Linked DNA regions of Oryctolagus cuniculus. The protein of the gene in region 1 purifies or fractionates together with the protein of each later gene. This does not show direct contact. Links are inferred from orthologs where the notes say so. Each region holds a gene or a part of one and is shown on either strand. Other genes may lie near its edges.

The links.
Region 2: the proteins of VARS1 (region 1) and EEF1A1 purify together in Homo sapiens (affinity purification with mass spectrometry; 3 studies listed by BioGRID and IntAct, counting the BioPlex papers as one, with this or other methods). This does not show direct contact. The link is inferred for Oryctolagus cuniculus from reciprocal best matches to the Homo sapiens genes VARS1 and EEF1A1.

The regions. Positions count from the first base shown.
Region 1 is NC_091436.1:138,825,786-138,830,309, reverse strand, and holds the start of VARS1 (valine--tRNA ligase), read right to left. Parts: upstream 3,025-4,524; 5' UTR 2,812-3,024; intron 2,537-2,811; 5' UTR 2,505-2,536; coding exon 2,118-2,504; intron 1,171-2,117; coding exon 1,036-1,170; intron 951-1,035; coding exon 812-950; intron 687-811; coding exon 562-686; intron 453-561; coding exon 368-452; intron 176-367; coding exon 75-175; intron 1-74. UniProt on the Homo sapiens protein: Catalyzes the attachment of valine to tRNA(Val).
Region 2 is NC_091436.1:99,027,695-99,032,122, reverse strand, and holds EEF1A1 (elongation factor 1-alpha 1), read right to left. Parts: upstream 3,009-4,428; 5' UTR 2,981-3,008; coding exon 2,837-2,980; intron 2,580-2,836; coding exon 2,400-2,579; intron 2,287-2,399; coding exon 1,990-2,286; intron 1,910-1,989; coding exon 1,759-1,909; intron 1,658-1,758; coding exon 1,401-1,657; intron 1,235-1,400; coding exon 1,000-1,234; intron 898-999; coding exon 773-897; 3' UTR 488-772; downstream 1-487. UniProt on the Homo sapiens protein: Translation elongation factor that catalyzes the GTP-dependent binding of aminoacyl-tRNA (aa-tRNA) to the A-site of ribosomes during the elongation phase of protein synthesis.

The DNA.
Region 1 (4,524 bases):
GAGGCCTCAGTCCCCGCCCACAGGCAGAGCATCCTCCAGCCCCTCCCCTCCCTCCCGACCCCGCGCCCACTCACCCCATACTCCGGCTTAAAGAAGCCCTGTTGCTCCCACCAAGGGTACCAGGCGGCCTCCACGTACTGCGGGCTGTATGAGTCAGGCATGGTGCCACTGACGTCTGCGGGGCGGAGGGGAGGGCTCAGTGTGCGGCTGAGAGCAGGGGCAAGGGGTGGGCCCGCAGGGGGACAGGCTTCTAGCACGCCCATCGCGAGACGGACACCCTCACTGAGCAGCGTGATGCACGCAAGGCCGCAAGGCCGGAGCAAGAAGGGGCAAACGCTTGGACGGAGCAGCTGGAGGGTGGGGTTACCTTTCTTCTCTCCGGGTGGGGTTGGGAGGTCATAGGTGATGACCCCAGGATCCCGTTTCTCCTTCTTCTCTGGTTTTGGTTTCTTCTGCGGGGGGTGGGGGTGGGGGTGGGATACGACAAGGCCCAGGCTATCAGCCACCCCTCCCCACCCCTCCCGGGTACCACCTCCTCCAGCTGCACCCTGAGCCTCTCACCTCCCCTGGGGGGGGCTGCTGCTGCTGCATTTTCTGCTTCTGTTGGAATTTTTCTAGCTTCTCCCGCTTCTTTGCCTCTTTCTTGAGCTGAGCAGCTGTCTTTGGGGGTGCAGCCACCTCAGGGCCTGGAGAGAGGTGCAGGAGGTCACACTCAGTCCCTGGGACCCTCTGTAACAGTGCTACCGCCTCTCACGCAGGCTGTTGCAGGCCCCGGCCAGCCGGAGAGGAGCCGCCATCCGCCCTCCCTCACCTGGCTGCTGAGAGAAGGGCCTGGCCCCCGAGTACAGAACCACTTCTCCCAACACGGCGCGGAATTCCGGCTGCTGGACGCACGTGAGGAACCAGCGGGTCACGTTACCCCAGACCTGGCGGGCCGAGGGGTCCAGGACCTAACACGGGGAATGACCATCTCAGCCACCCTATAGCAAGGTCAGAGAGGGGCTCTCGGTTCCTCCCCAGGCCCCAGTGACTCACATATCGGAACGGCAGCAGCAGGGCTGTGACAGCTGCCAGGTCAGCCAGCGTGGGGGCCTCCCCAGCCAGGTAGGTGTGCAGACGGAGCCACTCCTCCAAGGGGCTCAAGGCCCTGCCCAGGGCTCCCAGGGCAGCCTGCGGGAAGGGGAAGGGGATGAGACAGGCCTGGTCCACCCCCTAACCCGATCTGGTAGGCCTCCCTCCACACCCACTCCTGCAGATCACCACCTCTGAGGTCAGTCTCTCCTTCGCTCACACACTCATATCAATACTTCTGACGCATCCAGCAAATCTCTATTGAACACGTACTATGTGCCAGGGCCATACAGTAAGCACAGGAATTAAAGATCCTCCGAGGCAGCAAAGTAATCACCAGGTCCAGGGCTTAATTTCTTTTAAAGCGCCTGTCTGGGGAATGAGGCACCCACGTGGACAGGCCGAGCCCTGCCTGCCAGCTTACAGGGAGGACCACACATGAGCAACTACTTAGTACACAGCCCTTTCTTAACTCTTACAAAGAAACACACAGCAGGCTGATGGGAACAAGAAATTCTAGGAAAAAGAGACTATTTTAGACAGGGCGATGACGCCAGGGTCTGTGTCACAAATTCATTCATTCGAGAAACACCACGAGCCTGCCACATGCCGTAGCAGGAGGCGGAGCTGCGGGTAGGCACAGCCCTGCTCTGGAAGGACTTACAGACATAACTGGTAGGGTTTCTCCTCTCCCTTCCTCCTCATTTAATTTCTCCTTTATCTCCTTCCAGCAGCCGCCACCTCTCCCTCACCCAGGCTTCTCTCAAGTCCCAGTCACCCCTATCTATTCTCATCCAACTCACAAACTTCTACCTGGAAACTTCGAAGCTGCCTGGCATGGGACTGTGTGCTCTGACACATCCTTTAATCGCATTAACTCAGCGAGGCTGGTATTACATCAGGCACCCGGCTCAGAGTTTAAGAAGCCAGCCCAAGGCTACCACACTCGGTGACAATCTGGGACTTGATCAACGTTTTTCCGTATCTGATGGCTCTATTACGATCATCTCCAATTTCCCCCTCACCCTCCTCTCCTCCCCACTCACCTGGGGGTCCTGAGCTGGGCTTCGCAGTCCCAGGGCCGGCAGCGTAGCCCCACAGGCAGCCGGTATTAGCTCCGTGTCGGCGTAGCTGACCCACTGTTGGACGAGGACAGCCGCCTGGCTGCCCCCAGAGCCCCCGAGGCCCGCTGGCCACAGCAGCTGAGACACAGCCGTGGCCCCCCACACCCACAGCCCACCGGGCCCCTGCTCCAGGGCCGGCAGGCGGGGTGGGGGAAAGGGCGTCCTACTGGTTGGGGGCGGCTGGAGACAGATTCGGGGGTGGGCTCCTCCCCATCCTGGTCCCTCTCCAGCCTCCCCATAGCGAGCAGCTATGAGGGCCCGGAGGCTGGGGAAGGCATCGGGGTGAGGGGAGACGTAAAGGATGGACATGGTTATGCGGGTCCCGGACGAGATGGCGAAACCTGGGAGAAAGAGACGGGGGTAGACTGAGGGACGCAGGGACCCTATATTGAAGAGAGAGGGGGCCCTCGGGGGGGGGGGTGGCTCCTTTGCCGCAGGCGCCCGAGATGCTCAGGCCTCAGGAGCCCAGGGGCTAGCTCTCACAGTGACAAGGAGAGCCCGCCTGGGGGAAGAGGGGCGGAGGTCTCCCCAGGATCGCAGGGGTCTCCGGGAGTGCGGGAGTTCGCAATAGCGGTTCGGCGTCCGGTGGACGCGGGTTCGCGCCGCGTGTACGTACTGGAGGGAGGTGGTCGGGCAGGGCCGGGAATCCCCCTCCCCAACTGGGAGGCCGGGGCGGAGAAGTTGGGCGGGCCTCGGAGACGGTGGGCGGCTCTTTAGGCGACCCCGGCTCCCTGCGACCGCCGGCCCGGCAGTCGGCGCCCACGTGTTCCCCCCTTTGTGACAGCGAGCATTTCCGGGCCCGCCGGTCCTGGCGGGGGCGGCCGCGCCCCGCCTGCGTGTGCGCGCGCCGCCCCGCGCTGCCCGACCCTGCCCCGGAGGACGCGCCGCGCGCCGCGCTCCCAAGGAACTGCACGGAGCGCGGGGCGCGGGGCGCGGGGCGCAGAGCGCGAAGACGCCCCCCCAGGAACGGCACTCCCGTCAGGCGCCGCCGCGGGCACCCCGTGCGGGTCCTCGGGCCGGGCCGCGAGGGCGGCGCCCAGCGGGCAGCGGCGAACCGGCCGCGCAGGGAGCGGCCTGAGCCTGCCGTAAGTACGGAAGGAGCCTCATTTGCACACCGACCAGGGTCACGCTGCAGGGCTTGCGCTGTTTCTTAGCGGGGAAGAGTTCGCGTCTGCATTGCATATTGGAAATCGTCTACTGGACGCTGTTGCACAGTGGCTGTTTCTTAATTCCCAGTCACCACTCCACGGCACAAGCTAAGTCACTTGTTGGTATCTTCGAGATACCCGGAGAAAGTGTGTACTGCGTTGGCTGGATTAAAGCAGAAATACGGCGACGTGAAATGCATTTTGGAATCTCACGTTACCAAATTAGTGGAAGGGTGAATTAATGGAAGGGCTGGGGTGGACGCTTGGCCTGGAGGCTAAGACACCACATGGGGCACATCCTGCATCCCGTATTGGAGTGTCTGAGTTCAAGTCCAGGTTCTGGTTCAGATTCTAGCTTCCTGCCAGTGTGCACGGTGGCAGGTAGCAAGTGGTCACTGCGACCCACGTGGACCCAGATTTTTTTTTTTTTTTTTTTTTTTTTTTACAGGCAGAGTGGACAGTGAGAGAGACAGAGAGAAAGGTCTTCCTTTGCCGTTGGCTCACCCTCCAATGGCCGCCGCGGCCGGCGCGCTGCGCTGATCCAATGGCAGGAGGCAGGTACTTCTCCTGTTCTCCCATGGGGTGCAGGGCCCAAGCACTCACTCCCTGGCCATAGCAGAGAGCTGGCCTGGAAGAGGGGCAACCGGGACAGAATCCAGCGCCCCGACCAGGACTAGAACCCGGTGTGCCAGCGCCGCAAGGCGGAGGATTAACCTAGTGAGCTGTGGCGCTGGCCAGACCCAGATTTCTTTCTTTTTTTTTTTTTTTAAGATTCACTTATTCGAAGAACAGAGTTAGAGGGAGAAAGATCTTCCATCTGCTGGTTTACTCCCTAAATAGCCGCAATGGCCAGGGTTGAGCAGGTCCAAAGCCAAGACCCAGGAGCTTCTTCCAGGTCTCCCACGTGGATGCAGGGGCCCTTGGGCCTTGGCCATCCTCCCCTACTTTTCCAGGCCATAGCAGGGAGCTGGGACTTGAACTGGTGCCCATATGAGATGGGCAGACTTTTACCCACTAGGCCCCAGCGCTGGCCCTGAGATGGAGTTCTGAGTTCTGGTTTTGCCATGGCTCAGCCCTGGCATTTGTTCATTTGAGATGGAACCAGTGGACAGGAGATCCTGTCTGTCACTCTGCCTTTCAAATAAATAAAAAGAAAAAAAAAAAAAAAAAGAAGGGCAGCA
Region 2 (4,428 bases), about 40 Mb from region 1:
AAAGCTTATTTGAAAATATGCTTTCCCCACCTTCCTGTATCTTAATTCTGATCATCTGTGGTCCACTTCTTATGTCAGGCTACAAATCCTTTACCAAACTGCTTTAGAAGAAATCTGTTAGAAATGGTGTTCTCACTTACATCAGGAAACCACTTTTTACGTTTTCTTAGGACCCTAGAAACCAGTGCTGTTTTACTAAAACTTCAAGTAATTTGGGAAACCAAAATTTAATGATTCTAACAAATTTACTTGTAGCTACACAATTTTATATGCAACATTTCATCCCTTAAGATTACAGAATTTTGCTTTCTAAACTAAATTACATGTCAACAGTTCTAACCAGCAGGGCTAACAGCCCTCCATAGCTTAAAACAAACAGGTGGGAAAAAATCCCTAACCCATGGAGTTTTAAAATTCCAGCCAATTCTAATTAGAAAAACCTGGAACACATTTGACAGGTCCAGTGTTGACAAGAAGACACAGGTTTCTCATTAAACTTTGTTTTAATGGGTCTCAAAATTCTGTGACAGATTTTTGGTCAAGTTGTTTCCATTAAAAAGTACTGATTTTAAAAACTAATAACTTAAAACTGCCACGCACAAAAAAAATGGTCCACAAAACATTCTCCTTTCCTTCTGAAGGTTTTACGATGCATTGTTATCATTAACCAGTCTTTTACTATTAAACTTAAATGGCCAATTGAGACAAACAGTTCTGAGACCGTTCTTCCACCACTGATTAAGACTGGGGTGGCAGGTATTAGGGGTAATATTCATTTAGCCTTCTGAGCTTTCTGGGCAGACTTGGTGACCTTGCCAGCTCCAGCAGCCTTCTTGTCCACTGCTTTGATCACACCCACAGCAACCGTCTGTCTCATATCACGGACAGCGAAACGACCTATTAAAACAAGTATTGAGTTGCCATGAGACACATAGTTCACAGAAGCAATTGTTAATCTTTAGTACAACTTGTAATAGCAATAAAAAAAAAAATCCTTACCCAGAGGAGGATAGTCAGAGAAGCTCTCAACACACATGGGCTTGCCGGGAACCATATCAACAATGGCAGCATCACCAGATTTCAAGAATTTAGGGCCATCTTCCAACTTCTTTCCAGAACGACGATCAATCTTTTCCTTCAGCTCAGCAAACTTGCAAGCAATGTGAGCTGTGTGACAATCCAGTACAGGGGCATACCCAGCACTGATCTGACCTGGATGGTTCAGGATGATCACCTGGGAAAAAAAGGATATGCATTTTAGTGCTTCTCAAACTGAACTGTGGTAACAGCTAGAAATGCTAACTCCCCTGATGTGATAACACTTCATACATGCATCAGATTGCTTACCCCCTTGAGTATGCATGAACATTGTCAATTAACAGATCATTTTAAATTGTTACCTGAGCAGTGAAGCCAGCTGCTTCCATTGGTGGGTCATTTTTGCTGTCACCAGCAACGTTGCCACGACGAACATCTTTGACAGACACGTTCTTGACATTGAAGCCCACATTGTCCCCAGGAAGAGCTTCACTCAAAGCTTCATGGTGCATTTCGACGGACTTGACTTCAGTTGTGACATTGACTGGAGCAAAAGTTACCACCATGCCAGGTTTGAGAACACCAGTCTCCACTCGGCCCACAGGGACAGTGCCAATACCTAAAATATTTGCAGATTACCAAAGAGTTATTGAGGGCCAAAGATTTTTCACCTGTTCCAATTCAAGTTATATTCTGATGTTACATTAATACCCAACTTACCACCAATTTTGTAGACATCCTGTAGGGGCAGACGCAGAGGCTTGTCAGTTGGTCTAGTTGGTGGAAGGATGCAGTCCAGGGCTTCAAGCAGTGTGGTTCCACTGGCATTGCCATCTTTGCGGGTGACTTTCCATCCCTTGAACCACGGCATCTGAAACACAAGAGAACAATTAATTCTATCACATCACCACTTCCAGCTCTTTAACAAGCACTGTCTTGAAAGTCACTTACATTAGCACTTGGCTCCAGCATGTTGTCACCGTTCCAACCAGAAATTGGCACAAATGCTACTGTGTCAGGGTTGTAGCCAATTTTCTTAATGTAGGTGCTGACTTCCTTAACGATTTCCTCGTATCTCTTCTGGCTGTAGGGTGGCTCAGTGGAATCCATCTTGTTAACACCAACAATTAGCTGTTTCACACCCAGCGTGTAAGCCAGAAGGGCATGCTCACGGGTCTGCCCGTTCTTGGAGATACCAGCTTCAAATTCCCCGACACCAGCAGCAACAATCAGGACGGCACAGTCAGCCTTTAAAGAAATCAAGGACACACACTGTGAACGAAGGTACCTCAAACCTAAGGAGGAACTCACCCACCCCCCGCCTAGAAAACCTTATGTCTACAGTTACTAGTTGCACAAACCTGAGATGTGCCTGTAATCATGTTTTTGATGAAGTCTCTGTGTCCTGGGGCATCAATGATAGTCACGTAATACTTGCTGGTCTCAAATTTCCACAGGGAGATGTCGATGGTGATACCACGCTCACGCTCGGCTTTCAGTTTATCCAAGACCCAGGCATACTTGAAGGAGCCCTTTCCCATCTGTAATTACACAGAGCACTCAGACGGTTACTAAGACACAGCAAAGCTTGAAACCCCATGCCCCCCTCCGCTTGGGAATGCATTCCGCTTCCCAAACTGCTGGGCCTAGGTGGCTCTCCAGTCGATATGGTGGCTCGTGATTTTAACATTCACATTCAGACAACTAATCACTGTTGTCTTTTATAGTCATAGCACTCTCATTTTAGTGGCCAGACTTAATGTAATTCAGCATCTTTCCCTTGCGATACTGGACATACCTCGGCAGCCTCCTTCTCAAATTTTTCAATGGTTCTTTTGTCGATGCCACCACATTTGTAGATCAGATGGCCAGTGGTGGTGGACTTGCCCGAATCTACGTGGCCAATGACGACGATGTTGATGTGAGTCTTTTCCTTTCCCATTTTGGCTTTGATTTAGCGGTGGTTTTCACGACACCTAAAATGGAAAAAGGGGGGGAACCTTTGAACCACTGTCCGAGGGTTGAGACTAAGCCACGTTCAAAACTCAAAAGGGCAAATTCCAAGGAGAATTACATCCAATGCCAAGCTGGCCTAACTCTTCAGTCTCCACCCACCGAGTGAGTTAACTCCATCGCCTAAAAAATCTCCGCCCCCAGCCGAGCCAAGCCGAACTCCAAAGGCCACACGAAGAAGCCAGGTGCCCAGACGGCGCCCTGTACCCCGTGGGGTCGCAGGAAGCGGCGGCCGAAGAGGGGAAGGCTCTTTTCCTTTGTGTGGGTGACTCACCCGCCCGCTCTCCCGGGCCACCGCGTCCTCCATTTTGAGCTCCCTGCAGCGGGGACGGCGAGCGGCCATCTTTTTCCGCGCACGCAACTGGTGCCGAGCGGGCCGGGCTCCGCCGCCCGGGGTGGGGCGGCCGCGGCCCCACCGAGCCGCCCGCCCCACGACCCTCGCCTCTCCCCTCGCCCGGCCTGGGCAGGCGCGGCGCCGTCGGGCCTCGCCCAGGCCGCGCCCGACATGTGCGCCCGGACGGGCGGGCCCCGCCGCTCGCTGTCCCTACGCCGCGCGGCCGCCCTGCCACCCCCTCGGGCCGGACGACGAACGCGCGGGGTAGCCCGCCCGGCCTCGGCGGGCCCATCTCGACGAACAAAAAAAGAGCCGTACCGATCCACGTAAAAACTCAAAGGGCCGAAGGGCCCCGCGAGCGAGGCTAGCCAGGCCGGCGCGAAGGCGAGAGGACTCGCACGCGGCGGCCACGCCAGGCCTCAACTCCAGCACGAGGAAGAGGCTCCTGGAAAACGCGCAAACCTCCAACCCTCCCGCCCCGTTACAGCCCGAAATTCGGAGCCAGGAACCTCGTCAAGAGGCTCAGTGGCATGGCAGTGTCCCCGAGCACGCGAGGGCCCCAGCCCGCTCAAGGCCAGACCCGCGGAAGCCACACCCGACACTCACCTGTGTTCTGGCGGCAAACCCGTTGCGAAAAAGAACGTCCAGGGCGACTACGGCACTTATATACGGTTCTCCCCCACCCTCGGGAAGAGGGCGGAGTCAGCACACGACACCGCTTTCCCAGTTTGCCCCGCGCCACCTCCACTAGGCACCGGTTCAATCGCCGTCCCCTCCCCCAACGCCTCGGGGACCGTGGGCGATGTGCGCTCCGACCACTGACGAGCACACAGCGCCTCGCGCATGCTCGCCTCGGTCCCGGTGACGACGAGCGCGAGGGGTAGGGGGCGGGGACGCGGCGATCTCTCGGTTCTAGGGTAACGGGAGTTTAGCGACGGTCCCTGGGCTTCCCCGAGACTGAGGCGAGTCCTCTTTTGTATGAATTACTCTGGGCTCTGGCGGCGAGAGGTGGGGGGAGGGCGGCGGCGAGGGCACCTCCGGGG